4 linked regions of the Arabidopsis thaliana genome follow. The protein of the gene in region 4 interacts with the protein of the main gene of each other region in a pairwise test. Each region holds a gene or a part of one and is shown on either strand. Other genes may lie near its edges.

Region 1 (6,963 bases), on a different chromosome or scaffold from region 4:
GGCAGAGGCGGTTGAGATGCTACCGGCTGGACCATTAGCGGGATTACCTGGCAAGATACCACCACCAGGAAGCATAGATGATCTTGGTGAAGATGCTATGGATCCTGGACCATCAAAATCTGGTGAAGGTGCTGGTGCATACATTACATCCCTAGGAACAGTATCTGGTGGAGCTAGAAGCGGCGCAAATTGTTGAGGTCCTGCATTTTTACCATTGCACTTACATGAGACCGAATTCTAGCACATGATTTCCCTTACAAAGATAACATGGTTTAAAAAGAACTTACCGGGACATCGAGGTTGAAGAGACCTGGTCAGCCTATAAAACGAAAGAGAAGGAAATAGTTTCGAATCATTAGTAGGGGTATGTTGATAAGAGGAGAAGACAAAGTGAATGTATTTCTACTTACATGGTTAAGATAGTGCCGTTGGCTATACCGTTGTAATCACAAGTTGTAACATTACAGCCAGCGCTAGTCTGCTGCACCGTGATGTTACCGAGCATGAGGTTGCTGTTTCTACACTGCATACTTGAGCAAGAGACGGCTAGGGAAGCAGGCTCACAATACAAACTGCATCACATCACCCACACACAACACAAGTGAGTCAAAATGCAATCAGAGATGAATTTGATTAGTCATATCAAATAATAAAGCTTAGATATAATTACTTGCGGCTCCCAAGCGCACAGCTGCATTGCACACAGTGACCTGCAGCTAGAGCATAGCTACCATTTGGAACAATCAATCCGAAATCCGAAGCGTATCTGGGGAACTTTGAAGCACAAGCTGAGAGAAGGTAAAGATACAGAACCAAACATTAATAATCTGTAATTGCTCCCTTACCAAAAGTAAACTCAGCCAAAAAAATACCACAAAGAGGGAAACTTTTGGTAGCTCAAACTCATTCAATGCCAAAAACAATACCTTAATGAGATTCAAAACCCAGAAAACAATCAACCAGCAATGAAAGAAACAATCAAAAGTCCACAAAGCTACACCAAAAATCCCAATTTGGCAACCAACAACTAACAATAGAAACTACTTCCCATTATACAAACATCTGAAGATACAACTTTTAAAGATTGTGTAGACCTGACCTGACAAAGGAACAGCGAGAATATCTCCAGAACTAACATCAGGAGCTCCCATAGCATTCACATTCATCAAATCAGTAATAGTAGTCGAATACCTCCTCGCGATTCCGACCAATGTATCAATCTCCTTCACAACATACGACAAATAAACAGCCGGCAAAGAATTGTCGGTGCCATTGAAACAAGCACAAGGCAAGGGGATAACAAGACTAGTCCCAACATCAAGCAGCGACGGGTCATTCACCGAGTTAGCTTCCTGGATCTGCTCAGCAGAGACCAAGCCTCCGTAAACAGAGTCAGCAATCGATCCTAGATTGTCAGAAGGTCGGGTTTTGTAATGGGTAGAGACAGATTTTCTGATTCCGTCGACGCAGGAGCAAGTGATTGGGATTTTGAGGAAGAGCTTCGAAGGAAGGATATGGTTTTCGACGTCTGGGTAAGAGATATCGATGGCGTTAGCTAAAAGGATAGAGATTGGGTCTACTTGGAAGAGAGATGCGACTTCTGAGACTTTGAGGTCGGTGTAGAGTGTGTAGCCGAGTAAAGCGTTGCAAGTGTCGTTGCTTGAGCAAGGCTCGATTGTTGATTTCGCTGTCGCTGTGAAGGTTAAGCTCGAAGCTAGGATCAAAGAGACGAAGATTAAGAAGATGGGTTTTTCTGGGATTTTCATTTTTGTGTTTAGGGTTTTACGAAATTCAAAATCTCCTAGGGTTTTCAATTTCTCTTACAGGACAATGACAGAGAGTACAGTGAACAGAGTTTAGTTTGGTCTATGGAAGATGAATCTGGAGATTTTTCCAGGGGTTTGGTAGAGAGAGAATCTCTCTGTATCTCTGGTTTTCTTCTTCTAGAAAGAGAAGAAAAGTTTCACCCTTTTTGAAATGGAGAGAGAGAAGAGAAGAGAGGAAGAAGGAGACAAGTGTGTTGTACAGAGTGAACAGAAAACGGTAGCTTTGCGATCTCCAAGACACAGACATCTTTTTATGCTGTTTGACTGTTTTGCCCTTTTCTCTTTAACTCCTTTGACCTGGTTTCAGACTACTGTAGCATGAAGATTTTTTGAAAATTGATTTTTTGTAAGGGAAGGATATGGCGGTAAATTCAGCAACATAAGTTGAGGCCCACTTGAAAAAGCCCATTTTTTACTTTTGAGAAGCTAAAGCAACGAATTTGATGAGCTGTTTTGAGAGCTAAAATATTCGTTTCCCTTAAACACCGTCTTAAGCTCTTTCATGTATCAAGGCGGGAAAATGAATAATCATTTCTTATATATTGTCAAATTAACTTTCTATTTTCATCTTCTTTCAAAGATTCCCAAACTTGCACCATTTTGTCATGTATTAAGTCTCTGATGTTAGAACATGGCACTATGGCACAAACAAAATTGGAAGGAAAAATTAAAAAGCTGAGGTAAGTGAAAGCACTACCATAATTGAATACAAAAATGGGCCTGCTTTAAGTATCTTTGTGGTCATCTCTGAGTTGGTTTGATGAGGATAGATAATTTAATACAATGGAAACAAATAAAATGGCACTTCTCTAACTTCTCTAGTTTGAGTAAAAATAAACATATAGTTAAACTATAACTCTCTTGTGGATGTTCAAGATCAAATCTAACTTCTTTGTGTGCGTTCAATAGTCTAGTGACTTACCGATGATATTCAAATTTTACTCTCGAGTTTATCATTAACAAGAGGGATCAGTTCCATCTTGTTCCTTGGGGTACGAGGAGTCCTAGGAGTTCCGGGTTGTTGCTGAGAAAGCATGTGTCTTACATATCCGTAAAAGGTGCAGCCCACAAGTGTGATTCCGCAGCCAACAGCATTCATCGGTGATATCGGGTTTCGAAATATCATCCATGAAACAAACACAGCTACTGCAACCTGCAAATCACATACCATCCATCAAACATCTGAGTTATTGAAACTAGAATATAAAGATTAATGTTATGTGGTTTGGGATTTGTTCATTTACCTTAAGGTTTCCAGCTACATTGAATGTGACTGCTGTTGTGGATTGAATGACATAGAAGATGGAGAAGTTAAGACAGAAAGCTAGAACACCTGAGTTGAAAAGAATTATGAGAGCCGACCATGGAGATGGATGTGCTTCAAACCAATCCAAAATTCCATTCCTTTCTAGTAAAAATGCAGGTAACCCGAGAATCATGGTCGCGAAAGGCGCCATATAGTATACCGTGTTTATGCTACATAGAGAGACATGAAAATGAGGAGGACACAAACACTCAGTTCCATGAAATATGAAAAAGCAAATCAAGTATTGGACTATGAGAGCATGGCATGTCATTGAAACCAAATGTAAGTTTCACACATTCAACACCTATCATGTGAAACTGAAGATCAAAACCTCAGGAAACAGAACATTGACCTGTCAAATTTGTATCCATGAAGAAGAGATTCTGCAAGAATGGTCTTTGTAGAGGTAGCTAAACATCCAAACAAAGCAGCACAGAATCCAAACACATTAAAGCTAAGTTCTGTAATAGAAGTAAGAAGAATCCCTCCAACAATAGGCACCAATGACGCCCAAATACGCCAATCAAAATATTTCCTCCATACCAACCACTGTAACACAACTGCACTCAAAAAACCATTACACAAAAACCAATCAGAACAATAAAAAAAAATCACTTTATTTTGAAAAATTCTCAATCTTAAAAAAACCCTAAACCTGTTGTTGCAGGAGTTAAAGATTTGATAGTCTGCATAAAAGAGACAGGAATGTATCTAAGACTAATATTCCCCAACACAATGTTGATACAGAACACAAATGACATTGGAAAAATCCTCCTCCACCTATCTTCTGGATCAACCACAATCAAAGGTTTAAGCTTTAAGACTTTAATCACAATGTATGCTCCAATCGACGAACATATGAAATGAACACATGAAACTGATAATGGAAACTTGAAATCCAGTTTCTGCAAACAAGGAAAGGTACCAAATTTCAAACGCAGATCAGATAAAACAAACGAAAGGCTAAGTCTTTAATGATAAAAGTAAGAGACTTTTTAAACCTGAAAGATCCATTTGTTCATGATGATAACAGTAACGTTAAAACCCCACCATTGAAGAATCGATAACAGAGATCTGAACATAGTCCATTGACGCCACAGACTTCCTTCCTCCATTGATGGGTTTTAAGAAGTGAGTCAGAGAAGGATCCAAAAGATGAAACCTTTAGGAATGTGGCAATGCAAAAGCTAAATAAGAAACCCTAATTAAAGCGCCAAGAGAAACAGAGTAACGGTTCTGTTTTATATGCGAGAATTCTCTTTTTCTCTTTAGTAAGTTTCCGTGTAGTTAAATGCAAATATGTTTATGCAGCATAAATTATGCTTATACAAGTTACCAATTTTCAGTTGTTACATATATAAATATAAATAATTAGATTTTTAACAAATTTTCCGTATACAAGTAAATATTGTTAAAGATAAAAAATTATGGAAGAAGGATACATAAATACTTGAAATATTGATCGATACATTGATACAAAAAATCATAAATATATAACTTATGCATAGAGAAAGGAGACAAATTTTTTGTAATGTGGATCAATTAAGCGGTACAAATCCAGCTAAATGCTCTGCAGAACCTTTTTATAGGACCACCATTACCTCGAGGGACGATGTATCGCTCGTTGTTGAGAGGATCACATATAATCTTGCAAGGGTTGGCACATATGGCTGGAGTCGCTTTCTTTGATGCTTTCATGCACTGGTTCACGACACAATTTTTGACACACACATCTATCGAGTTGGAATGAGCTGAAAACATCATTGCAAATAAAATTACAATCATCAATACACTGCAGATTTTCTTTGACACTTGAGTTGCCATGTCGTAAGTATTGTGAGTCTGAAAATCTTAAATTGTAATGTTTTTTTTCTTTCTTTTTTCTTTTTGTTGTGGTTTTGAAACAAGATGATTTGGTGAGAATGTTGTGTTGATTATATAGTAAAAATAGTTTTAGCTGATTTTAGAAGTAACTAACTATTAGGAGGTCAACTTGTTTTCGTTTCTTTTTCTTGGCAAATATATCGATTGATTTCTGGACAACTTATATGTATTATACTGTTTTGGTCATCTAAACAACTATTTGCATGCTATGCATAAATATAGTAACACTAATTGCTCATATTTAAAATATTAGCCTGTACAACACATATCTTAGTGGCATTTTCTTCTTAAAATTCGTGACCACGTTTTTGTTACGAAAATCGTAATATGCACATGACATGGTAAAGAATACATACCGTTAACAAGGAATGATTACCTTTCACTGTACATAATTTTTTAAGATCATTGAATTTATCATTGGACACTAAAAATCTTTCCTTTTTTAAAAATGAAAAATAACAATTCCACCAAAAGTATCCTAAAAACTCAATGCCTAACTAAATCACATTGTTATTTTTCATGTGATTTAAATATTTTGGCGATCATCGGGGTACATTCTTTCTTTCAAACCTATAGTTTTTCTTAAATATGGTGAAAGATTCATCAGGAACAAAAAGAATACGTAATCCTTTTGTTTTGTCTATAATTTTTGAGTTGAATACATATATATATATATATAAGTAGGAAATTATGTACATTTGTTTATAAGAAAACGTAAGGAAAATATGTACTTTTGTTTATGAATAAGTAAGAGGTTCTAGATACATACAATACACTAAGGCGGATTAGATCATTTAATATGACTCCTCCCAGGTAAATATGTACATTTGTAAACATAATTTTCTTTCATATTGTCTTTATCGTCATTTTCCTCCATGAAAACACAATAAACTTTTTTTTCATAAAATCTATAAATTCAAGACTAATATAATTTGATTGAAAGTATTTATTTTAAAAATAAAATCCATATTTGTTTAACATCTTCAGTTTTTTCCATAAAATTATTAAATTCAAATGCCTACATAATTCTTTTTTACAACTCTATATTCTCAGCTTTCTTTCTAAAACAGTTGCACTTGTTGTAAACATGATATATATATATATATATATATATATATATATTTTTGAATATAATTTAACATTATGTTCAAAAAAAATTAGCTATACAAATTATGGAAACTTAATGCCTAACTAAATCACATTAACATCATATATTTTAGTTATTTTATTTTTAAACTATATTGTTTCAACTTTATTGGCGTTTATAACTTAAAATTTGTTTCATAATAAGTTTTGGTTATGTTTTTCAATGTAGATGTTTGGTTAAAAATTTAGTTTTTTTTAATGTCTTCACGAATAAAAAATCATAGCATATTAATAAAAAGAAAAACAGAAATTAATTGTAATTATTTTAATTTGTCTGAAAAACTTTAAACAAATATAATTTGAAAATGAGGGAGTATTAGGTATAATAAAATTATGGAAGAAGGATACATAAGTACTTGAAATATGGATCAATACAATGATACAAAAAAACATAAATATATAATATATGCATAAAGAAAGGAGACAATTTTTGTAATGTCGATCAATTACGCGCTACAAATCCAGCTAAATGCTCTGCAGAACCTTTTTATAGGACCACCATTACCTCGAGGGACGATGTATCGCTCGTTGTTGAGAGGATCACATATAATCTTGCAAGGGTTGTCACATATAGCTGGAGTCGCTTTCTTTGATGCTTTCATGCACTGGTTCACGCCACAATTTTTGACACACACATCTATCGAGTTGGAATGAGCTGAAAACATCATTGCAAATAAAATTACAATCATCAATACACGACAAATTTTCTTTGACACTTGAACTGCCATGTCGTAAGTATTGTGAGTCTGCAAATCTTAAATTGTAATGTTTTTGGTGAAACGAGATGATTTGGTGAGAATG
Region 2 (8,485 bases), 6.2 Mb from region 4:
TTTTAATTCTACACATTTCATCTTAAGTGATAACAATTTCATATCAAAATAATATTTATATCAGATCAAATATAAATATTACTTAGTATTCAAAATAATTAACAATTAACATTAATAAAAAAATATAGAAATCCACAAAATAATTTGGAAAACAAACATTGTTTAAATTATTATTTTTGTATATCATAATCTCGTAAGTTTATTTTACCTCATACAAAATAATTTGAAATGAGTAAAAAATAAACTAACTCTCATTAAGTAATTGAAAACTCAAATATTATAAGCTATTTATTTCAAAAATGTTATGTTTTCACTTACGACTACATGCGTTAAATTTTTTAGAATAAAATATAAGTATAAGCTTGCTGTACCACATGAAAGGATGCAAGTTTCTCCATCACATGATGTGTTAAAATTCTTAGAATAAAACATAAGTATTCATAACATTATTATTATAACCTCATTAAGTTTTTCATTTTTGTTTTTATGGTTTGATTTAACGAATAAAAACACTATAGTACAAAGATAAATACAATATTATCCAATTAAATTAATGTTAAATAAATTATATTGTTATTTTAAACTTCTGGGCTTTTTGATTAGTATAATTATCTATACTAAATAATTTTTAAAAATAAATTACATGCTAATTTAATTGACCAAAACAAATGTAAAAAGAATTTTGTTAATTTTCCTTTTTGTTAATAATTTTTGTTCTTTTAGATATAGACATATAAGTTAGTATATGTAGACTTGTTTCGCTTTTTTGTTTTTTTATAGCCAATTAAATTAAGGGGCTCTTAAATTAATGTTAAATAAATTATATTGTTATTTTAAACTTTAAGGGCCTTTTTAATTAGTATTATTATCCATCGTAAATGATTTTTTTTTTTAAAATTACATGCTAAATTGAAATGACCAATAACACATTGATAACTAAATTTGTTAATTTTTCTTTTTCATTTAGGAAAAAAAATTATTATTTTATTTTATATATGGACATATAAATTAGTATATTTAGATTTGTTTCATTTTTTGTTTTTCTATTTTTCTAAGAAAAACAAAAGTTAAATCTCTTCTGACACATGTCAATATCTGATCAATAAATTTGACACGTGGCACAATCCTATGAGTTATTAATTTTGAAAACCATATTTTATATAATAAGATTCAGAAATATTTTCCAAAATCCATATATTTTCTTATTTCATATGTTACTTTTTTCCTTTATACAAAAATCTTAATATAAAAAATAACTAGAATCTATAATAATGTTAATTAGCGAGATAGCTTTGGTCGTTTAAAATCTCATGTGTACAGTCTCAAAAGCTTATAACAAAATATTAGAATCTAAAAATGTTAATTAGCATTTTGGGAGATTTATTGCGGATCAAGCAAGTCGCTAGAATCGGCTCAGAGACGGAAACCGAATAGTCAACTCGAACCCATTGATAGTGTCACAAAAAAAAGGTCTTGTATTCGCCGTGCTAGTGGATCAGTTTTGCTGGTTCCGGCCACCACCCATGTCCAACCTCAACCTCCTTAACAGCGTTGGCAATTTTTTCTCAGTTTAGTAAATATAGATTGTCGTACTGTCAAGGTCTTAAGCGCATTTCGAGAAATTTTATTCATAAAATTAAGTTTTTTCATTGAATGAACAAAAAATGAGACTAGCGTAAGTGAGAAATATGCCAAGTGTTGTTACTATACTCTCAAAGGTTGATCGATTACCATCATGAATATTGATATCATGGACAACTCGGACCTGACAAAACACATGATCAAGATAATTTTTCAAAAAACATTGTAGTCAAGGACACACCAACAATATTTACATTGATTTTCTGTTTTCTTTCTCTGTTCAGTGCGGTATTTGGCATGTATCTTAATGCGACCTACTTTGTAGATTATATAATCAAAATCTTATTCCATTCATTTCATGTGATACACGACTACACGTCCTGGATTCCACCAAGACAAGGCTCACGGGTCCAATGCTTAGAAGCGAGCGATGGAAGCTTTTAGATGAGAAGTATTTGATTCTACAAACAACCTAGAACTCGCAAGAACAGATTTGATTCAAGATACAAAGTATTGAAGCAAGAAACAAACTGAATTTCAATTGATCAAAGCGTGAATACAAAGTAGAGAATCAAAGAGCTTAAATTGAAAAGTACAACAATGGTCTAAAACTTAGAAAAGGAAACCGAATAATGCGAAATAAAGAGAGGAGCGTGATGATTCTAGCCGTTAGGCTATAATGGAGGATCTTCGGTGATGGCGTCGAGAGCTAAGTTAAAGTCGCAGCTTCTAAACGTCGTGTAGTCTTTTCATGAGGGTGAATATAATCAGCAGAAAGTCTTCAAGTACATCAGGGGGCTCTTCGGTTTGGTTTGACTCAATTTGACCGTACGGTGCAAATTGGTGGTTCTTGAGTCTTCTTCCAAATCAGCTCGTTACAGGGGCGATTTGCATCGATCAAAATCCTCTTCATGGTCGATTTTTGAGTGAATTCTTTGGCGGAACTCAAGTTATTAAGCTTCATCTCCACTGAACAATAGTCGTATCGGACATGATGGATTTCATAATGCTATCGGCATACTTATTAAGCTTATTCCGCGGCTGGTAACGACATGTTCGAGAACTATGCACTATCAAACACATGAATGTTATGATCTTTAGTGATGGTTGTTTTGTACAGCAGAAACAGAAAACAAAATCCGCGTCTCAAGGAGAACTTATCCCAATCTACTTCGCTGAAATCCGAAGATTTTCCTTTCTCGAAAACGCGTTAAAAATATAGTTAAATCTCTCATAATGCAATTTTAAGGCCAGAATGTCCTAGCGAAACAGGATCAAAACTTTGGCTAAAGAGTAAATAACAAGTTTCTTTAGAAAAAATAAACTACAAGATCATTCACATACATTAAGCTTTTAGAATGATGTATAGCAACAAGAGAAACAAACAGTTATAGAACAAAACATGAGGAACAAAAAAAACACCAATCATGATTCACCTTTGAAAACTTTATTTTACATGTACCTTTTTGTTAGAACCATGATCATGTTTCAGTAGATTTTGGCTCATTCTCAGTCGGATGTGACACAGCTTCATGATGTAGTATCTGCTCCTCTATCGGCTGCATCTCAGCTTTCTTCTTCTTCTCTTTCTGGATCACTTGCCGTGGCATTACCTCTAGTAAAAAGCTCCCTCCGTTCCACACAGCCGCAGAAATCTTTAGGATCTGAAAGATCACATGAAGTCTATAAGATAGGAAGATCGGTACGGTCAATGCCATGGTTGCCACCGTGAAGATGGCCTGGAATAGGATGTACATCCATATACGATTCTGATCCCCTAGCAGACCGCTCAGCTGCCACAACTTATTGTTTGCCTTTTCAGCTTTCTTCGACAGCTCTCTGCACATACCAAAGGATTCCATCAATACAAGTGTTCACTCTATGGTAAGAACACATTACATTATGCTGTGACCTTAGCGATCAATATGAGGAGAACATTAACATACGGCGTAGACAAGAGATACCTGTAAGAAGTCATAACTTCAGGATCTCTAAGGAGTCTCTGCCTACGCAGGACATTGACGATTAGAAAATAGAGCACTTGCCAAAGAGTATAAACGACTAAGGGGACGAGAAACAGCCATGTGAATAGGTAAGCTTTGTCTTCAACATAAGGCCATGAAACCCTACGATCAGTGCCTACAGGGTGCATAGCTGCAAAAGTCGCTGGATTCCACCACCTAATCGTGAAAAACACGAGCCCTGAAACCAAAATTCATTACAATAATAAAGAAACAATGGAGAGAGAGAGCATAAAGCTTAACTATATCTATCATATGCATTACAACAAGGAACCATGTGTTTGAATTAAAAACGGTTGAGAGGGGAACAACAAGCTAAGAATTCATACAACTACTTTAATCAAAGCCGTCAACTTTAGCAATATGAATCAATAACATATCTTCTTCTGTCAACAAGAAGATTATAGAACTCACCAGGTAAGAGATGTATAAGAACACTAACAATCTTATCCGGCGAACTAAAAACCAGACTGCAACGCCAGACAATAATCGCCCACGCCAATGGTCCCTGCAGCACAAGACACAACCAATAAAATAAATCAGCACACACAATGACACAAAAGACTCATATACATACATGTAGTTAAAAAGCATACCTCAGCAAAGGAAAAGCAAACCATGAAAAGCTTTTCATTCTTAGGATACAGAAGAAGATCAACCAAGAAGATTGTATTGGCATAGTAGCAAAAGTCCTATCACATACACAAAAATTGTTTCAATAACAATCAAAACGACTGTTTCTTAATTCCAAATCCTCAAAAGAGACATTACCAGAAGATAATAATGCCATTTCTTAAACCGGTAATATATCCATCGAAGAGGAACAAAGATCACATAGAAGAAACAGTAAACTAAAGGAATGTCTTGAGGTCCTGAAAACGAAAACATCATCAACATCAACAACATTGAATTAAGAACAAAACACAAAAAAAACAAAAAAAAAACACAATTTCTTTGAACTCACTTGCACCAAGTAGGAAACAAAAACCTCCAAATCCAAGCACACCAACGAGATGTGTCACCTTTAAAACATTACAGAACCAAACATTTTCAAACCAAAGTAACTTAAAATCAAAACATGATTGAAGAATCAAGAGAGAAACCTAACCTTATTGATGAATCTCTCATGTTCTTCGGCTTGTTTAGCGATCTTAACGGCTTGTTTCGATAAGATCTCACGCGTTTGTACCGCTTGTTTAGACAACAACTCTCTCGTCTGAACAACTTTCTGTCAAAATCAAAAACAATTGGTCCACAAAGTCAAAATCAACAAAATTGGAACAAAAGAGAAACATCAAAAATGGTGAAAATCGAATCTGATGTTGTACCTTTGATCGATCTTTGAAACGTTGTTTAACAGCATCAAACGAGTCTAGTCCATTGGAGTTTGAATCTTCGTTATTCGCCATTATTGCGGTCAGATTTCTCTGTAGATGCTTTTGTCGTTTTTAAAGGAGAATCCGAAAACACTGAATTTTTCTGTTTTCAGGATATTTTACTTTATGCGGAATTAAAAATTTGGTGAAGGAAAATGACCCAAAAATCATTATTAAACTCTTTATATTCGTTACTATTTTTGTTCAGTTTTATAAAGTGGTGATTAATTACATGTAATCCAATAATTACATTCATAATTAAGTAATAAGGACTTTATGTTTTATCTTGGGAAATCAGATGGAATATTAGTCCTCAAAGTAAATTAATTCCATTAATTGCCTTTGGTGATTATATAATTTAAAGACTTTAATAAGAGAGACTGAGAAGGAGCCACGTGTCGAAAGTTGAAACTTCTAGGACCCTCTTTTGCGCGGGTCGAGAAATTTCCTAGCGTACACGTATTTTTCTACATTATTATAGTTAGAGGAACATTTTGTTTAATTGCATCTTGTATTAAAGAAAAAAAGTAAAAAAAGAATGCTGTGGTATAACTTCTTTACTAGGTGCCGACAAAAAAAAAAAACTTCTTAACTAGGTTTTATGAGTTCAAAACTAGAGTTTCTTGACAAGGTTTCACATGTTCCAGAAGCTTTAGTTTTGTTTTTGGATGAAGTTTGAAAGATTCAAAAGCAGTGTTGTAAAAAGCGGTCTAGACGGTCGTTTATATGCCGCTAAGCGTTCAGTTGACGCCTAAATAATCATCTCGACTGCCTAAAATAACATAAATTTCGTTTTAGTATATTTTTTTTATTTTTAACTAATATTGCTTAAATTTTATAAGTTTTACTTCTACACATGGTTATAAACATTCATATATTGTTGATATAAATTAAAGAAACATTTTTATCTAATTTTTGATTAGGATCCGATTAATATTTTCTAATATATAGTTTTATATGATTTTTATCTATAATATCATATTTAAAATGTTTTATGTCATAAACGGATAAACCACCTAAAATCACTTAAACCCCGACTAAGCGTTCTAAACGCTAGGCGTTGGGTCATCGCCCGTTTATCGCCTAACACTTTTTTGAACATTGTTCAAAAGTAAACAAATATACTAAAGCCATAGAATAAGGGGGTCTGTCTGAAGTTGAAACAAGATTTAAAAACAAAAGTACAAAAACTGGTGTTTTGTTCTGACAATCTTATGTTGTTCCTGAACAAGAAATCGACTAATCCCTCAACGACCCAAGTCTAAGTCACGAGTGCAAATATCACACAGTACTGATAAAAGAAATTAAAATGAAACAAAAAACTTGTACAAAATGAGATTGTTTTGTTTATTGTACATCAGTTTTGCTCGTCTTGGTTCAACCATGACTTCACTATGCGTACACAGTAAAAGAGGTGCAAAACTAACAAAACTTAAGCCTAAATGTGATAAAAAACAAATCTAACCAGATTTGATGTAAATAAAGCTTACAAAAGCTAGCTAACTGTGTTAAATCACAAACGAGAAAACAAAACAAATTCGTATAAACATAAATATCCAATTTTTACAATGAACTACAAAAAAAACAAGGTTCGTTTCTCAATTTTATGAAAGAGTTCTCAAGCACGTTCCATGCATCCACACCGAAAACAAACATCAATAAAAAGCATATAGTTCTGAGCCACAACATAACGATGCACTGAAAGCGAGAGCTCCAACGTAATCAGTAGTACTTCAGAATCTGTATTCCAGAGATTTATCAGTAGATGACTCTTGTGAAGCAGCCTCTATCTCTCCCAATATAAGAGAATTTGACTAGCTTCTTGTTCTTTCCTGCATCTATTTAAAAGATGATCGATTTTAGAACAATGTATAAAAGTTGAGACTGTCCACATGACTTTGAAAAGTGAACATTATTATACCGTTTATTTTTTACCTGCTACTGGTTATTCTCTTTGTTCGTCGTCACAGTTGAAAAATTGAACATCGGGAATGTGTTGGACTTTGTAGTAATCTTCTCCAACCAATTTCTCCTTCCACTCCCTCTTCATTCCTTCAATCTTCAGTTCCTTTAAGGATGTTACATACTTGAGTCCGTCAGGAAGTTCCTCCAACTTTTCGCAACTATGTATAATTAAATCACGAAGACATGGCATCGACCCTTCTTCTACTATCCACTCTTCCAACTCCGATTGTTCAGATATTTGTAGAGCACGTAATTGAGGAAACCCGCCTTTTGAGCACACCATTCTCCTCCCTATGAAAGCCTTGCGTCTTAATTCAACCGACTTCAGATGAAGCAACTTTTCTAGAATTGGCATTGGATCCTCCTCCATGTGGCAAAACAATAAATATATGTGTGCAATGTGGGGAGGTAATTGATGTTGATCAGGAATCTTTGACAAATGTACTCCCAAACTTAACTTCTTTAGATGAATAAAATCCAGAACGAATTCTCCCACATAATCAACCATATAGGTTTTGCGCGAATAAATGAAACTAAGTGTCTCCAGCTTTCGAAATTGACGGAGAGATGAAGATAGATTTTCAAAAGTACACCTTTCACTAAAAGATACACCGAAAAACCTGAGCTTGGTCATACGGAGGAGGTCTGTCACACTACTGTGTTGCGTTGAGAAACACCACAAGTACTCCAGGTTCACTAGATCACCCAATTCCAACTTGGTTTTATCATGCATATCCAGAGGTAGGGAAAGGTACCTCAACTCTAGCATCTCTTTCAAAACATTTGGCACGTGAACCGGCACCCCGATAGCAACATGTAAGTTCAAATAGAGCATAAGCTTTAAATTCCGAATAGTAGAAGGTAGATGAGATACCACAGCTTGGTGTAAGCTCAAGAATCTCAAATGGATGAGCCCTCCAATGCTAGAAGGTAACTTCCCTCCTTCAAATTTTACCGAAGACAGATCCAACACCCTGAGCAATGGTAAGCTTTGGAAGCGTGAAGCTGATTGTATCCAAAGATCTTCCTTGAGTCCCAAAACTAAAAGAGATCTGACCTTTTTTTTGTGTCCTAGTATATGAAAGGCTTTACCACTATGTACGGTGAGTCTTCGAGATCTACTAGGAGATTGAGCAATGATGGTAGAGGTGGAAGTAGGGACTTTGATAATTTGGAGGAAGTTCTCTACTTTGGCTTTAGATATACATACTTCCCTCATCATGTCATGCATTTGACAAAGTTTAAGTCTCCAACTCAAATTGCTCTTTTCAGCAATAACCAAATTTCTCCTCACTAGTTCTTCTAGGTAGTCTTCTCCACTATCAAGGATGGTTAATCCATCGTAAATTCCCTCTGCGGCCCAGTAACTGTACAATGTCCGTGTCTTTATCTTGTAATCTTCAGGGAAATGGGCTAGGTAAAGGAAACAATGCTTTAAATCCGTTGGCAAATCTTCATAACTCAAAGACAATATTCGGTAAACCGAATTGAGACTGTTGTCATCTAAGCACGATTTTCCTACGATTTGAGCTCCGATATTCT
Region 3 (7,984 bases), on a different chromosome or scaffold from region 4:
CGGTGGTGTTTTCTTTTGAGGATTTAAGGGAAACATGGAACCCAACAAGGATGATAATGTTTCATTAGCAGCAACAGCTCAAATTTCAGCACCTCCAGTTCTACAAGATGCCTCGTCTCTGCCAGGTAATTAATTAGCATTCAAGTAAATTGTTACATCAAAGATTATAGTGCAGTTGAATTCCTTAAATCTGTTTCACTTTTTCCTGGTTGAGTTTGTTTTTGTATTTTTCTCGCAATGCATCTAGATTAGAGCTTAAGGATTTGGTCTGTAGAGTCCAGATACTGTTTCGTTCTTCCAATTATTAAAGAAGTGCATTGGGTTTTCTTTGGTTTCGTGATCCTTTAACTCTAGTAATTTATGTTTCACTTTTACTGTAACTTCAGGTTTCTCTGCCATTCCACCTGTGGTTCCTCCTTCTTTTCCCCCACCAATGGCTCCAATACCTATGATGCCACATCCTCCAGTTGCCCGCCCACCTACTTTTAGGCCACCTGTTTCACAAAATGGTGGAGTGAAAACCAGTGACTCGGATTCGGAATCAGATGATGAACATATTGAGATATCTGAAGAGAGTAAGCAGGTCAGAGAAAGACAGGAAAAGGCATTGCAAGATTTGTTGGTAAAGCGTCGTGCTGCTGCTATGGCAGTTCCAACAAATGACAAAGCTGTTAGGGACCGACTTAGACGACTTGGGGAGCCCATTACTCTATTTGGAGAACAGGAAATGGAGAGACGAGCTAGGCTGACTCAGCTGTTGACTAGGTATGATATCAATGGGCAATTGGATAAACTGGTTAAAGATCACGAAGAAGATGTGACTCCAAAAGAGGAAGTAGATGATGAAGTTCTTGAATACCCCTTTTTTACCGAGGGTCCAAAGGAACTTAGAGAGGCTAGAATAGAAATTGCCAAGTTTTCTGTCAAGAGAGCTGCTGTCAGGATTCAGCGTGCAAAGCGGCGGAGGGATGATCCAGATGAAGATATGGATGCAGAGACTAAGTGGGCTTTAAAGCATGCTAAACACATGGCCCTTGATTGCAGTAATTTTGGAGATGATCGTCCTCTTACCGGCTGCTCCTTCTCACGCGATGGAAAGATACTTGCCACATGGTATGTCTCTCTTCTATCTCCTTCTCACTCTCAACACAAATTCACATATTCTCCACATATTGTTTCTTAGGCTTGAAACTATTTTTCCTCGTCTCTATTTGATTAGAGTTACCTGGACTAGATTGCATTCTACCTGCATATTCATTTTCATTGATATATCAGTAGAGAAGTATCTTAATAATCCTGTTCTTAAACACTGAACTTGCTGATTTTCCTCACTTTTAAACACTGCACCTTTATAAAACCATGAAGTTAGTTAGGCCTATAGTTTATCTTATAGATAGCATACTCCATGTCTATTGCATTTGCCCTTTCTAACTGCATTACGCATTCTCTAGGTTCATGACTTGTGTGATTCACATAGTTCCCTTCTGTTTAGTAATTCATCGATTTTTTTTTTGTCTAGTTCTCTGAGTGGAGTTACTAAATTGTGGGAGATGCCTCAAGTTACAAACACGATTGCTGTCTTGAAGGATCACAAAGAACGTGCAACTGATGTAGTGTTCTCCCCAGTGGATGATTGTCTAGCGACTGCTTCTGCTGATCGAACTGCAAAGCTGTGGAAAACTGATGGAACACTCCTACAAACGTTTGAAGGTCATTTGGATCGTCTGGCACGTGTTGCTTTCCACCCATCAGGGAAATACCTGGGAACTACAAGCTATGACAAGACGTGGAGATTGTGGGATATAAACACAGGAGCAGAACTGCTTTTGCAAGAAGGCCATAGCCGCAGTGTCTACGGAATTGCATTTCAACAAGATGGAGCATTAGCAGCTTCTTGTGGGCTTGATTCACTCGCACGAGTTTGGGATCTCCGCACTGGTAGGAGTATTCTTGTCTTCCAAGGACACATCAAACCGGTAAGATTCTAATTTTGTTCCATTGGTCCTCCTCGTATCCAAGCAAAAGTGATTATTTACTAACCCTTGTTTTAATATCCTCTGTTTTATATGTTTCTTCAGGTTTTCTCCGTGAATTTCTCTCCTAATGGTTATCACTTGGCATCTGGTGGGGAGGATAATCAATGCCGTATTTGGGATCTAAGAATGAGAAAGTCATTGTACATTATACCAGCTCATGCTAACCTTGTGTCTCAAGTGAAGTATGAGCCACAAGAAGGCTACTTTCTGGCCACTGCCTCATACGACATGAAAGTCAATGTAACTACTTCTATAATCCCTTGCCTTAGTATTTTTTTTTTTTTCAGTCTTCTGTTTCATTGGCTTATAGTTTGATTCCAATTTCTTATATTTTGTCTACCAGATATGGTCAGGAAGAGATTTCTCGCTCGTTAAAAGCTTAGCAGGGCATGAGTCAAAAGTCGCCTCTCTAGATATCACAGCAGATAGCTCGTGTATCGCTACTGTATCACATGATCGCACCATCAAGCTATGGACAAGCAGTGGAAATGATGATGAAGACGAAGAGAAAGAAACAATGGACATAGATCTCTAGTTTCATTTTTCATGTTTGTGCAAGAAAAAAAACTTGGGATCTAGGGATTTCGAGATTAGCTTGTTAGAGAAACTCATTAAATTGTATTTGATCTCTTGTCGGGAATTATAGAAACTCAGGATGCTGATACATTGTCTTGAAAATTTTGCCATTTCGTTCAACAAAAAGCAAATGAATGAACTTTGTTTACTTGAGAATACTTCAACACGTTAACAAAAATTGTTGATATATACGATTGTACAAGGTACTAAAGTAATGTTCTGTATTTGTGACTTCTCTGATTGCAGACTATTTATACCAACCAGCAAGAAAGTGTCGAAGTATGAAGCAGAAGGCGCAGGCTAGAGCCTGTAGCAAAAACAAGCAGAGTATGACAACACTAAAGCGACTACTTCATTATATACGAATGGCGATATACATATATCTGAGACCTACCTGGAAAACGAGAAGATGGATGCAAAGAGACTTTTCTGATTTAGGACCAAACAACCTCAAGTAAACATTGACGAGTGTCCCATCTTTTGTGCCGGTCAGTAATCCGGTAGCAGGATCATACCTGGATATTTTCAAAAGACAAGATGAGTGATGCGTCTGTTCTTTAATCAGTCTACAAAGGGTAAGAAAACAAAGGGGGTTACCTTGGGAGACGATGGCGCGGACATTTCACAATCCCAGCAAGCTGAAGAGTTATCATATATAGTATGTTAAATTTTTGAAACATGAGTTGACAAGATTATACGTATGCCATAGAAGAGTGAAAAGGTGATATGAACCTGAGGAAGCGATAATAGAAAGTTCAGAACTTGAGGAAGAAAGAAGATGAGGAGGGTTTCACTGCAGAAGCAAAATTTCAATACAGAAAGATGGCATGGGAATCAGTTGCATGGTCATACAGTAGCTGGATATATGATGCAAATGATCAATCTAAGAGTTGGTAGTTTCCATGTATTAGTGAAGTGCCTGTGCCTCAGAGAAGATAAGTGGGTTTGGAAGTATACCTGAAGTGACCCAGAATACCAACAACTGCCATAGTCATTCCGGCGAAGACTGTGTAAGTGTCTCCAACAAAAACTGAAGAAGGATACCTAACAGCAGAAGATTGCGAGAACTGGTCAGAAATATCATTACTTCCACTCAAAAAAAAAAAGTTTTAAAGAGAAAGCCTGCTAGGGATTTTACCAATTGTAAGCAAGCATTGCCAAGGATGTGGCCATCAGCGGTTGAGTAAGAAATATCGAGAAGGCATGAGCTTGGTGATACTCGGGATCAACAGATGCTCCGATTTGCATAACGTTGTGTATCAGGATCTACAGGTAACTGGGATGCATCATATCTCAACCCAAAAGAAACAAAATGAGAAAAATTCAGAGACATTATGTATGACCATAAGACTTACAGCAGCGGCAATAACAACTGTTTGACCGATTTCAAGGCCATTCAGACCAGCGTGGATGTTAATAGAGTTTGTACAAAAGACAGCAAGTAGCCCCATATATAACTTATATATCCTTCCTGCCACGTTAAAACATCTATTGAGCTAATCATAATCATTTACCTCCTCAAAAGAAAAATACAAGTCAATGTGTACAAATAGGTGGTATCATGTACAAGAACCATTACCTAGATTAAGCACTTCCAAGCCAATATAAGCAACAAGAGGTTTTGGTATAACAATAGTTGTATGACCAGCATAAGCCATCAAAAGTGGAAGGGTAGCAAAAGATGGCAGGACAAGCTTTCTGTTGTTTAAATTGACAACAGTAAACATGTGAATCAAAAACGATAAGCGTGAATTTCATCAAAAAAATATGTAGGAATTAGGACTTACACTCTCCAAGGCACATCAAGGACATCATCTACAAATCCAAGCAAAATCATGAAGCAAATAGATGCTAGTGCTGCATTATACTCCACAAGCCACTGCACAGAATCATCAGCCAGACTCACAAACATTGATAATGAGAATAACCACAGAGATTAATAAAACAAGACGTTAATGCACACTTACATTAGAATCTTCAGTGAAGTTAAAATACTGAAATATTATCGCCACGATCAAAAAGACAATACCAACAACAATACCCAATGACTCTGGCCTGAAAACAAAGAGGATGAAGAAATTTTAATCAAACTAATCTTAATCTTTGGAAAATCAGAGATTGATAAAAACTCACACTTTAATATCTCCTTGAGGCGTGCCTCTTTTGTTGATATCAAAACCAAACATGTTACGTCTCAGAACGTATCTGGCAGTAACAGGAATCATTTTGAGAGTGACGAAAAACCCAACCAAGCTAAGCCCCGCGTTAATTAGAATCGATCGCTTGAGCTCATTATCAACCTTGTAGTGAAAACAGAGAAGGTATAGATAGAGCGAACAGAGAAGAGTAGAGATCACGAAGATCACTCCTAATTTCGGCGGCGCGAGACGAAATTCCTCACCGGAAGCAGAAACCGTCTTTCGGGTCATCTTCTGCTCCGATGGCGCTGAGTTGGGTTCCGACGGGTCCGGTTTGTTGGGAATTGAGATCGATGAAGCTCTCTTACGAGCTGCCATGGCGGATTTGTTGGCTCGTTTCGTTTCCCCGCGCTCTGGATTTTGACTCCAAACTCCGTTCGCCTGAGAAAGGATTCTTCAGAGCAATTCCCGTTCTGCGTCATATAGACCAATAAGGATTTGCCACGTCGCTTCAAATACGACACCGTGTCATCGAAATAGAACTTTATGGATTAATCATAACTTTAATTATTCGTATTAAGTACAAGAATATATCTTGGATTATACTTATAGAACTCTCTTTTTTTAAGAAAAAAATGCATAAATTTTGCTAAGAATTTTGTTGTAGCAACACATCAGCATGACATAAAGCAACTATTAAAAATTAAAACTAAAACTTATATTTAAAAGATTATGTAATAATATAGTTATTAATTAATAGTCATAATTTTTAACAAAGTTTCTTTTAATATAAAAATTGACATAGAAAATTATTTATTTTGAAGATTTTTTTATTGATAAGATGAAGAAGATGATCCATGCGACATTTGCTCACTAGTTACGCTTCCATCATTGGGAGCTTTGAGATGATCATTTTGAAGAAGAACATTCAGATGAAATCTCTGAAGAAGACGTAGTGCTCACAGAAGAAACTTGCACACTACTTTCTTTATCCGTAGAAGTTTGAGAGCTACTAGAATTATCACTATTTTCATCTTTTGTTACACAACTACACCAGTTTCCCATTAATGTCCCTACAAACATAATAAAAAATGTTAAAGTTGCTAAATTATATCTTAGTTTTTTTTGTAAGTGTTTTCAAATTAACTGAATAGTACTTATTGGTCTGTAGGATCAGTTTCGAAAATGCAACAACCCATTGTAATTTAAAATAAGTTTTTGTAAATGTACCTTAGCTTGAATCTCCTCAGAGTTTGTTATGATCTCTAGCTACACAATTCATCTTTTTATAGTGAGAGAAAAATATCTCAAAATTCAATACAAAATCTTTTACTATTAATTACTTTTTTTTTTTACAAGATCGAATCGACCTATTATTAGAACTTGGATGCATATGGATCATGATTTATGTCACAAAAGTTTTGTGATATTTAATCATAATCTAAACATTTTCTATGTCTTCTACTATATTTTGACACTTGTGTGTAAGACATAAATGGTAAGAGGAAATATTATTGATAGTGTTTTTTTTTTTTTGGATTTGGGTCAAAAATATTGTGGGGGGAAGCCACGTGTACAAATAAAAGTAAAATTTAGTTAAGACAATAAATATGAGAGTTAATGTATGTATCTTAGAAACAAAAAAAAAATATTAAGTATGAAATATAAGGAAAGATATAGCAAAAAAAGTAAGAATAAATCAACATCTTATTATATAAAATATGGTTTTCAAAGTTATTAACTCATAAGATTATGCCACGTGTCAAGTCTATCGATCAGATGTTGCCATGTGTAAGAAAATAATTAACCATTTTCTTCTTAAAGAAATAGAAATACTAAAAAATAAATTAATTAACTTTTTTCTTCTTAAAGAAATAGAAAACTAAAAAATAAATCATTATTAACATATACTAATTCATATTTCTATATCTAAAAAATATTACATTTTATTTTTCTTAACCAAAAGAAAAATTAACAAAAAAAAATCTTATTATATAAAGTATGGTTTTCAAAGTTACTAACTCATAAGATTATGCCACGTGTCAAGTCTATCGATCAGATGTTGCCATGTGTAAGAAAATAATTAACTTTTTTTTTCTTAAAGAAATAGAAAACTAAAAAAAGAAATCATTATTAACATATACTAATTCATATTTCTATATCTAAAAAATATTACATTTTATTTTTCTTAACCAAAAGGAAAATTAACAAAAAAAATATATATATATGTTATTGGTCAAATTTTTAATATATATGGTATTAACAAATGTTTTATTATTATGAATTATGTTTTGTTAATTGTTAATAATTTTTAATATTAACTAAGATATAGATTTGATCTTATATATATATATTATTTTGACATGAAATCATTATCAAGTAAGATGAAGTGTGTAAAATTAAAATCGAGTTTTTTATGAAATAGATAGTTAAATTGTATTACAAAATTGAATGTATAAGATAAAATTTTATTTTTTCTTCTAAATACTAAATTACAATAAAGAAAAAGTGTGTAGGTTACTATTTAGACTTCAAATATCATCAATAAGATTGAATGGGTATAACAAAATAAAATGCATAAGACTACTATTTTACTATTCAAAATTATATATCAAGAACAATGTATCGATTATTATTTTACTATTCAAAATTTAAATATTATCGATAAAAATTACATTTACATCTTATACCCGCTTATTTAGGCGGGCTTTATCTAGTAAGAAATAAAATATAGATAACCAAGATATATTGTAACAACGTTACATGTCACGCATCCATACAGACAGAGACACTATACGTTACGAATTTCAAATGTAACAACGAGTATTTCATTTTTCTTCTATATTCGATCTCAATTATTAGATTCTTTTTTGTAGTAAATATAAAAACAATGATTTCGATTGAGACAAAACTACAAGTGAGGCTGATGTGAACGGGGAAAAATAGTGACGGCTTATATCTGAATTACGTTGTGAACACGTTTGTTTATTTCATGGATTGCTAAACTTTGAGGATATAGCAAAGAAGCTTTAAGTAAAGCAAACGAATCATTAATATTTTGGGAGGATGTATATATATATTTGAAGTTGTTGTTGTTGTTGTTTAAAACTGTTTTTTTTTTCTTGTAATTAAGGTTGAAACAGATTTTGAAAGGACGTTAGCACGAAACTCGTAAATAACGCATGTTTATTTTCCAAATAAATTTATAATAAAACTATTATACATCAAAACCCA
Region 4 (7,646 bases):
ATTATCAACTTATTGATGTTGTCTTTAGCCTATATTATTATCTTATTGATGTGTTCTTTGTTTGAATATGTTATTATTATATTATCTTATATTGATACGTTCTTTGTTTGCATATATAATCATCTTATTGATTTGTTCTTAGTTTGCATATATTCTCATCTTATTGATTTGTTCTTTGATTGCATAGCATATATCATCATCTTATTGATATGTTATTTAATTTGTTTGCATATGTTATTATACTATTGATATTTTGTTGATACATTCTTTTTTTGGTTGTTGTGCTTCTTGCATTCAGACGCTTGCATATCTCAAGACGATAGATTTGAGCTTCTCCAATAATTTAGTAGAAGTTCCGGATCTTTCAAAGGCAATAAGTCTCGAGACATTGTGTCTAGAAGGTTGCCAAAGTTTGGCGGAGCTTCCTTCCTCTGTCTTGAATCTTCATAGACTAAAATGGTTGAGGCTGACTATGTGTGAAAAGCTAGAAGTTATACCGCTTCACATCAATTTGGCATCTCTTGAGGTCCTTGACATGGAAGGATGCTTAAAATTGAAAAGTTTTCCAGATATTTCGAAGAACATCGAAAGAATCTTTATGAAAAACACAGGGATAGAAGAAATACCTCCATCAATTAGTCAATGGTCTCGCCTTGAATCCCTTGATATTAGTGGCTGCCTAAACCTCAAGATATTTTCACATGTCCCCAAGAGTGTAGTGTATATATACCTAACGGATAGCGGTATTGAAAGGCTTCCAGATTGTATCAAAGATCTCACTTGGCTACACTACTTATACGTCGATAATTGTAGAAAACTTGTGTCACTGCCAGAGCTTCCAAGTTCGATCAAGATTCTATCAGCAATAAATTGTGAATCACTTGAGAGAATATCTTCATCTTTCGACTGTCCAAATGCGAAAGTCGAGTTCAGCAAATCCATGAATTTCGATGGAGAAGCACGACGAGTAATCACGCAGCAATGGGTTTACAAGAGAGCATGCTTACCTGGCAAAGAGGTTCCTCTGGAGTTCAGTCACCGTGCCAGAGGAGGTTCCTTGACCATCCATCTAGAAGATGAAAATGTTTGTTCTTCATCTTTAAGATTTAAGGCTTGCATCCTACTTTTCCCAAGCGAAAGGAACAATATTTGTACTGTATATTGTCGTCTCATAGGTGAAAGTGGTCGTCTCATCGCAGCACATAGATTTGGTGGAGTTGTCAAGGACTTTGTCACACCGCATCTGTTTATATTTAACTCAGTCTTACTTGAAGAAGTGGATGTGATACGGTTTGGATTCAGCAGCATACACCACGAGATTACGGAATGTGGTGTACAAATATTGACAGATGCATAAGCATTCGGGAGCTATCAGGAACTTCTACAAGATGTCGGAGCGTTCGAAAATGAAAAAAAGTACTTATGTTAAAAGTTTAACTTCATTTCAAACTATATCCACTAAAATACTCGCACGTTATGTTGTGTTATTAGTGCTTCATTATTGGTTTTATTTTGTTCAACAATAACAACTAATAATTGTGGTGTCAAGTTTACGCTTAAGCCTTTGATTTGTTCTTGCAAACCCCGTACGTGTGATGTTGACAGAGATCGGTAAGGTTTAAGACTAATTTTCAATTCAAGATTTATCAAAACTTCTTTTAATAGTGACTATTGTAGATAAAATTGCTCGAGCCAAAGTGTTAATATAAACAACAGAAAACAGTGAAAAGGTGAAGGAACACGTGTTAATTAAGCAGGGCACATCATGGTACGTACGAACGGAAGGTAATGAAGTTTTTTGAGGTAAAAAACGTCAAACCTCAAAGGTCTTAGTATTTGTTAACAACAAAGGAAACAAAACATAATGTGTCTCACTCCTTATCCCCTCCCCACCTATCTTCTTCGATCGGGCTTACTTTCACTACACCCAAATATATTCGTGGCTAATTCTAATTGTTGATTCTTTATTCTACTTTTACCCAAAAAAACTAAAAAAATTGTTGGCGAAAAAAAACAAAATTTTGTTATTAAGACTTACCATTTCTCATTGACTAATCTTACCGGAACATAGATAATTTTGCATTCAATTTTTTTATAATATATCTACGCAATATATTCAGGGCTAATAATAATATATCTTTAAGATAGTCATGCAAAATTCTCTTGCAATCGTACGTAGTTATTATCAAATACAATGGCTTCAAGCATGAAATTAGGCAACTTACTTTCATCACCGATCACCATTTTTTTTGTTTTTTGTTAATAATTAATTCTATGCCACATTTTTTCTGATCTGAATGATACAAATTTTATAATATTTTATCAGTAGTAATTTGAAACTGTGTATATGATGTTTCTTTCATTTTAAACCTCATTAAACATACTAACTGCTTATTCCACTGCCAACATGTAAACATTAGTTTGGATTCAATTGAATGAAAATGAGAATCATATATTTCCATTTAAAGGTTTCTGAAAGTATGAGCTTAAAGCTTTAGTTGTTGTGAAAGATAATTAAGGTGGGAGAAAAGAAGCGAGAAGCCACAAGGACACTAATATGATGCCTATTTTGTATGGGTACACATGCACATGCTTGCACATGTGTTCCGGCCAATTAGCTCTTGTTTTTCCATGTGGTTCGGTATCTCTATATACACTCATGCACCCAATATATATTACACGTCATGGTCATTAGCCATCGCATCCATATAAGTCTTCATCATCCAATCCACGATTCCACTCCCTTCAATAATGCAAAATCTTCAACAGTTTTGTGTTTCATAAAGTTTTACATTCTGTCCTTGTCCAATGAAGACACTTACATAAATGTATAAGTTTTAAAACAAAAGCAAATCATTGAGACATAAATGGAGATAGTATATATGAAGAACAAAAAGAAAAGAGAAGGAAAAACTGTTAGTGTAGGCCTTCTTCGCATTTGACAATAATTTGATCGACATTAGGTGAAATGACGTTCTTGCCCACCAAGTCATGAGCCTTCAAGGACTCTTTGTTCCAATCTGTGTTATAAACAACGGTCAAAATGGAGATTGCACAAGCTAGCTGTGCCCCAAGCAAGCCATAGCATAGGCCCATGAAGCCTAAACCCCACACAAACGCTAAAACAACCGCCACTGGTGCTCCAACTACATAGAAGGCGTAGAAATTAATCTTGGCCCCTATACCTGGCCTCGCACTGCCACGTAAGATTCCACAGCTAATGGTCTGAGGACAGTTGGCAAGCTCACAAGCTCCAATCACCGGAATAACCGCCGCCGTCAGCTCGAGGACAACTTTGTCGGCGGTGAAAACTTTTCCCCAAGCTTCTCTCCCCACGGTGGTCCCCACAAGTCCAAACACTGACACTGCCACGGCGGCTCCGACAGCCACAGTCGCCGCTGTTTTTGCTTTCTCTGGCCGTCCTGCTCCTAACTCGTTGCTTACCCTCGTGGATACCGCGGCCGAGAGGGCCGTTGGGATTGTATACATCAATGAGGTTGTTTGTATCACGATGGCGGCTGCTGCTAGCGCCACCTTCGGCTCGGGGAGATATCCAGCGAGGACCGTCATGAACTCGTACCACCACCACTCCAAGCAAACCGCTATACAGCTCGGAACAGCGAATTTAACCAGCGTTGACCACACATCATTTTCACCGGAGTCTCTCGAACCATACAGCATCAACGGCGTATCAAGACAAAGAGACTTGGAAGTGGTTTTGTCGTTGTTGTTGTTTTCCAAGTAGATGTAGCAAAGGAGAAGCGACAAAGAGATGAAGTTGGTAAGAAAAGAAGAGACGGCGACTCCGGGAACTCCGAGAGAGATGTAAAACGTGAAGAAAGCAGTAATGGGAAGATGAAGAAGGACGGAGACTAACGTGCACCACATCAAAGGCCAAGTGGTGCCTTTACAACGTAAGTAAATACGTAAAGGATGAAGGAAACTATTAGCGAGAAGATCAGGCAAAGAGAAGGAACAATAGAGAGATGCGACACGAGTGATATCATGTTGTTGGCGGAGCATCAGCATTAGAGGCGCGAGGTTTAGCCAAAGGAGTGATATGGGAAGAGAAGCTAAGAGAAGGAGGAAGATGGTTCGCTTGAGGGTTAAGGAAGCGAGTGAAGGGTTTTTAGAACCGATGGCTTGACCACATAATGGTTCCATACCGGTGGCTAAACCAGAGAGGACGGAGTAACCGGTGATGTTGGTGAAACCGATGGCTAAGGCTCCTCCTGCGAGCTCAAGGCTACCGAGTCGTCCCATACACACGACGGATGTCATGTTCTTTAGGTAGTTTAATATGCTCATGGCGGCCACCGGAAAACTTATGTCCCAAATTCTCTTCAGCTCCTCCACCACCTTTTTAAATATTTTAAATAAAAAAATAATAATTATAAGAGAGGAGATATTTGAAAGACTCTATCTGAGGAAGAAGTTTACTAAGAATAGAAGTTTTAGATTTAATTTAGTACCTCGGGCATTGTCGGGTTGTACTTGTGTTGGAGATTTATGAGACGTGAATCTTCTTCGACCACCATTGTTAGTGTTTGTTTATTGAGATGAGAGATTTAAAAAATATGAAGAGAAGATGCCATTTTATAAAGAAATTTTATTTGTTTTGTTTTGTAACATGGAGTTGGGTTTGGCATGGTGGGGGTTCCCAAAATATTGATGTCATTATTTGTTATCCATTTTTCTTTGTGTGGACTCTAATATATACAAGTATAAATACAAACTAAGTATAGTTTGAGAAAAATATAGGATATTAAGTTCAAGATTTAATCGTATATCTCTTATACTATCAAAGTTCGAGATTTTTTTATTTTTTTATTATAGTACGACTCTCAATATCCTACATTTTTATTAAACAACATATTTCTTTATTTTTGGTCAGAATTAAACAAAAGAATGTATTGACCTAAAAGAAGTACGAATCCAAACCTGATTTTGTCGTACAAAAGCGTCACATAAACAAACGAAAGTATAGGCATGTGGAAATTTAAAACAACAAAAAAAAAAGAACAAAACTCAAATCAAATTTCTTCTCAAGATTCTGTTAGTACAAAGTTCCATTTATGATTATCTCTTTATTTAATCTTTGTTAAGAAAGTGAGTGTATATTTTCTTTGGTTATAAAAAAATCATGCATATAGGCAATCTAAATTAAACTAAAATAGTGTTCGGAACATACAATTGTTATCTAATCCATAGTAAATATGAATGCATCTCCGGTGAAACAGTATATATTTGGCCTAATAAATTTGTTAAGAAAGTGAGTGTATAGTTTCTTTGAGTATCGGAAAATCATATAGAGAATCTAAACTAGTGTTCGAACATACAATTGTTATCTTAAAAAATGCATTTACCATGAAATAATCTTTGTGTTGAAAAAATATTAACCAATAGATTACTAACACTTGATTTTAGATATCGAATTTGTATTTCTCCTGAGGAACTACTCTCTTTTTTTGTCCATGATAAAATGTAAGAAATTGAATATGTTAGTTATAAAGGCGTAAATATTATTATGAATATTTTTGAAACTTCGTGTGGTTTAAAAAGATGCATAGAACTAACAACAACCTTTCTAAAATAAAATGTGATAAAAGATATTTATGAAGCTCAAACTAACGATATTAGTAGAAAGTGATATGATTGGTCCATCAGTCTAGAAATGAAACTAGTTAGAATTAGGTATAGCGCAATGTGTTGTCTCCCTCTCACTGTAATTATCAACCCAAAATCGACTTGAAAATTATGTATACCTTTCCTTTAATTTTTTCCCTTTTCCTACTTATTCCCACTCCACTCCCTATAAACTAGTGACATTTTACATCTTGTCTCTGCTTACGTGGATAAATGATCATCATGACAATCGAAAACAATATATATATATATGTGTGTGTGAATTAGCTAGATAGCCCATGTGTGGTTTTAATAAAAATATGAGAAGTTTGATTACATATATTTTAACATTATAAACTACTGAAATACAAGATTGATGCTTTTTTTACCAGGATCTTATTTTATAAGTTCTATAGTGATGAATTATATCATATGAGTAGTGAATTTTTTTAATTTTCATATATTTAAATTATTATTGAAGTTATTTGGTTTATTTGATATATATATATATATATATATGCTAAATACACATATATAGAAATTGAGGAAAATGATTTTTAATTGAAAATACTATTATATATGTAAATCAGATTTTCATATCGATCGTTTTCATAGAATTTGCAAGCCGTTCCAATTGGTCGATATTTGGCCACAAGATATGATTTTCGCAGATGTATAAAATTTATACACATCTTCATACCGTCAATTTTCACACACATGAATCATGATTCATGCATGCTTTCATACGATTTCATGTGTAGTTCTATATAAAGATGTATAAATAATCTTCAAAATCTGTAAATACGAGCAGAAGAAAGTTGTGTAAATCGTGGGGGAAACTAAGTACTGAAAGAAAAAACATAGACAAGTAGTGAACTAGAAGTACCAATAGAGACAGAGTTGTGATGTTCCCATCACAAAGGAAACATATCCTCTCTCCTTTCGTCGCTTATATCTTCTTCTTCTCTTCTTTTGCTTTTTCCACACGTGGCTATTTTTACTTGCTTCCATCTCCACCGTTGATCTCGATGCCCTTTCAATCTACACGTAACATATGCATGGACATATGCCTAACCTATATCTATACTATGCATCGTCTAGTTCGTGTGGTATGAACTTTGTCTCCAATAGCAAGCCGTCGCTCTTCTTTTGCTTCCCCACTCATAGTTTACTATTCATTTTTTAATGTTTTCTAATATGCTTGCTGATAAAGATCCTTCCACTGATATTTTTGTAGCTGGTTTATACGAGATGCATAATTACTAAATAACTAGATTTTAACCCGTGGTACACCGTGGAGACAATTTATATTTTAAAATTAGTATATATAAAATTTTGCTATAAAATATTTTTATTTTATACTTTATATTTGTTATTAAGTAACGTCCTGCTAAATCGCGTCCCGCCAAACCCATCCTGTAAAAAAATCATTATTTTATTAATGTTAATCTTATTTATGATATATTTATGAATCATTGTCTAAATATTTTAGTTCATGTGGGACGTATAACTCACACATTTTTTGCCAATTGATTAATATATGTTTATTTTTAAAATTTCGAGTCACAAAATATGACGGAAAGAATTAAGATTTTTTAAAACTCTATATATTATATAATAATATTAAAAAATTATGATATATTAAACTTTTTATAAGTTTAAATATTAATAATGTTTTATAAAGTCTAGATATATAAATAATAATATTTAATTTTTTTATATTTTGAGCCTTTTAAGTAATGACATAATAATTCTAAAAGCAAGGATTTAGAAGATTTAATATTTTCATTCCTAAATAATTAATGTCAGTGTCATTACATTGTAAATAAGTTCAAATACATGATTTATTTATTTAAACAAAAAACGTTTAGTAAGAATAATATTTGTTTTAACAAAAAAATTTGTTTTAAAATATTGTTAACAAATATGTTTATGCTAATTTTAAGAGATTGATTTGAAGTTTGTTTGGATTAAATTTGATTGATAATGTGATTAACAATTTAAAGTAAAATTAATTATTT

What was found.
Region 1: the proteins of AT5G49130 (region 4) and GONST5 interact in a protein complementation assay, tested with the Arabidopsis thaliana proteins (one large-scale study listed by BioGRID).
Region 2: the proteins of AT5G49130 (region 4) and AT5G35460 interact in a protein complementation assay, tested with the Arabidopsis thaliana proteins (one large-scale study listed by BioGRID).
Region 3: the proteins of AT5G49130 (region 4) and GPT interact in a protein complementation assay, tested with the Arabidopsis thaliana proteins (one large-scale study listed by BioGRID).

Annotation. Positions count from the first base shown.
Region 1 is NC_003070.9:7,675,492-7,682,454, reverse strand, and holds GONST5 (golgi nucleotide sugar transporter 5), read right to left. Parts: upstream 4,248-6,963; coding exon 4,134-4,247; intron 4,038-4,133; coding exon 3,788-4,037; intron 3,693-3,787; coding exon 3,485-3,692; intron 3,303-3,484; coding exon 3,071-3,302; intron 2,980-3,070; coding exon 2,758-2,979; 3' UTR 2,612-2,757; downstream 1-2,611. Other genes in the region: LYM1 (lysm domain GPI-anchored protein 1 precursor), read right to left, coding at 1-200, 288-319, 411-572, 671-788, 1,100-1,766; AT1G21866 (Plant thionin family protein), read right to left, coding at 4,675-4,956; AT1G21864 (Plant thionin family protein), read right to left, coding at 6,609-6,890. UniProt on the Arabidopsis thaliana protein: GDP-mannose transporter that may be involved in the import of GDP-mannose from the cytoplasm into the Golgi lumen.
Region 2 is NC_003076.8:13,669,124-13,677,608, reverse strand, and holds AT5G35460 (uncharacterized protein), read right to left. Parts: upstream 5,121-8,485; 5' UTR 5,012-5,120; coding exon 4,931-5,011; intron 4,831-4,930; coding exon 4,711-4,830; intron 4,625-4,710; coding exon 4,567-4,624; intron 4,475-4,566; coding exon 4,374-4,474; intron 4,295-4,373; coding exon 4,199-4,294; intron 4,111-4,198; coding exon 4,017-4,110; intron 3,784-4,016; coding exon 3,546-3,783; intron 3,421-3,545; coding exon 3,063-3,420; 3' UTR 2,106-3,062; downstream 1-2,105. Other genes in the region: AT5G35450 (Disease resistance protein (CC-NBS-LRR class) family), read right to left, coding at 6,924-8,485. UniProt on the Arabidopsis thaliana protein: Glycerophosphocholine acyltransferase (GPCAT) that utilizes acyl-CoA to acylate glycero-3-phosphocholine (GPC), forming lysophosphatidylcholine (LPC).
Region 3 is NC_003071.7:17,298,906-17,306,889, reverse strand, and holds GPT (UDP-glcnac-adolichol phosphate glcnac-1-p-transferase), read right to left. Parts: upstream 5,319-7,984; 5' UTR 5,129-5,318; coding exon 4,746-5,128; intron 4,668-4,745; coding exon 4,580-4,667; intron 4,492-4,579; coding exon 4,400-4,491; intron 4,311-4,399; coding exon 4,192-4,310; intron 4,084-4,191; coding exon 3,968-4,083; intron 3,879-3,967; coding exon 3,751-3,878; intron 3,657-3,750; coding exon 3,570-3,656; intron 3,406-3,569; coding exon 3,345-3,405; intron 3,251-3,344; coding exon 3,210-3,250; intron 3,128-3,209; coding exon 3,007-3,127; intron 2,920-3,006; coding exon 2,860-2,919; 3' UTR 2,679-2,859; downstream 1-2,678. Other genes in the region: LIS (WD-40 repeat family protein / small nuclear ribonucleoprotein Prp4p-like protein), read left to right, coding at 35-125, 387-1,113, 1,520-1,976, 2,079-2,276, 2,380-2,571.
Region 4 is NC_003076.8:19,912,796-19,920,441, reverse strand, and holds AT5G49130 (MATE efflux family protein), read right to left. Parts: upstream 4,571-7,646; 5' UTR 4,539-4,570; coding exon 4,473-4,538; exon of another isoform or gene 4,360-4,472; coding exon 2,917-4,359; 3' UTR 2,475-2,916; downstream 1-2,474. Other genes in the region: AT5G49140 (Disease resistance protein (TIR-NBS-LRR class) family), read left to right, coding at 299-1,357.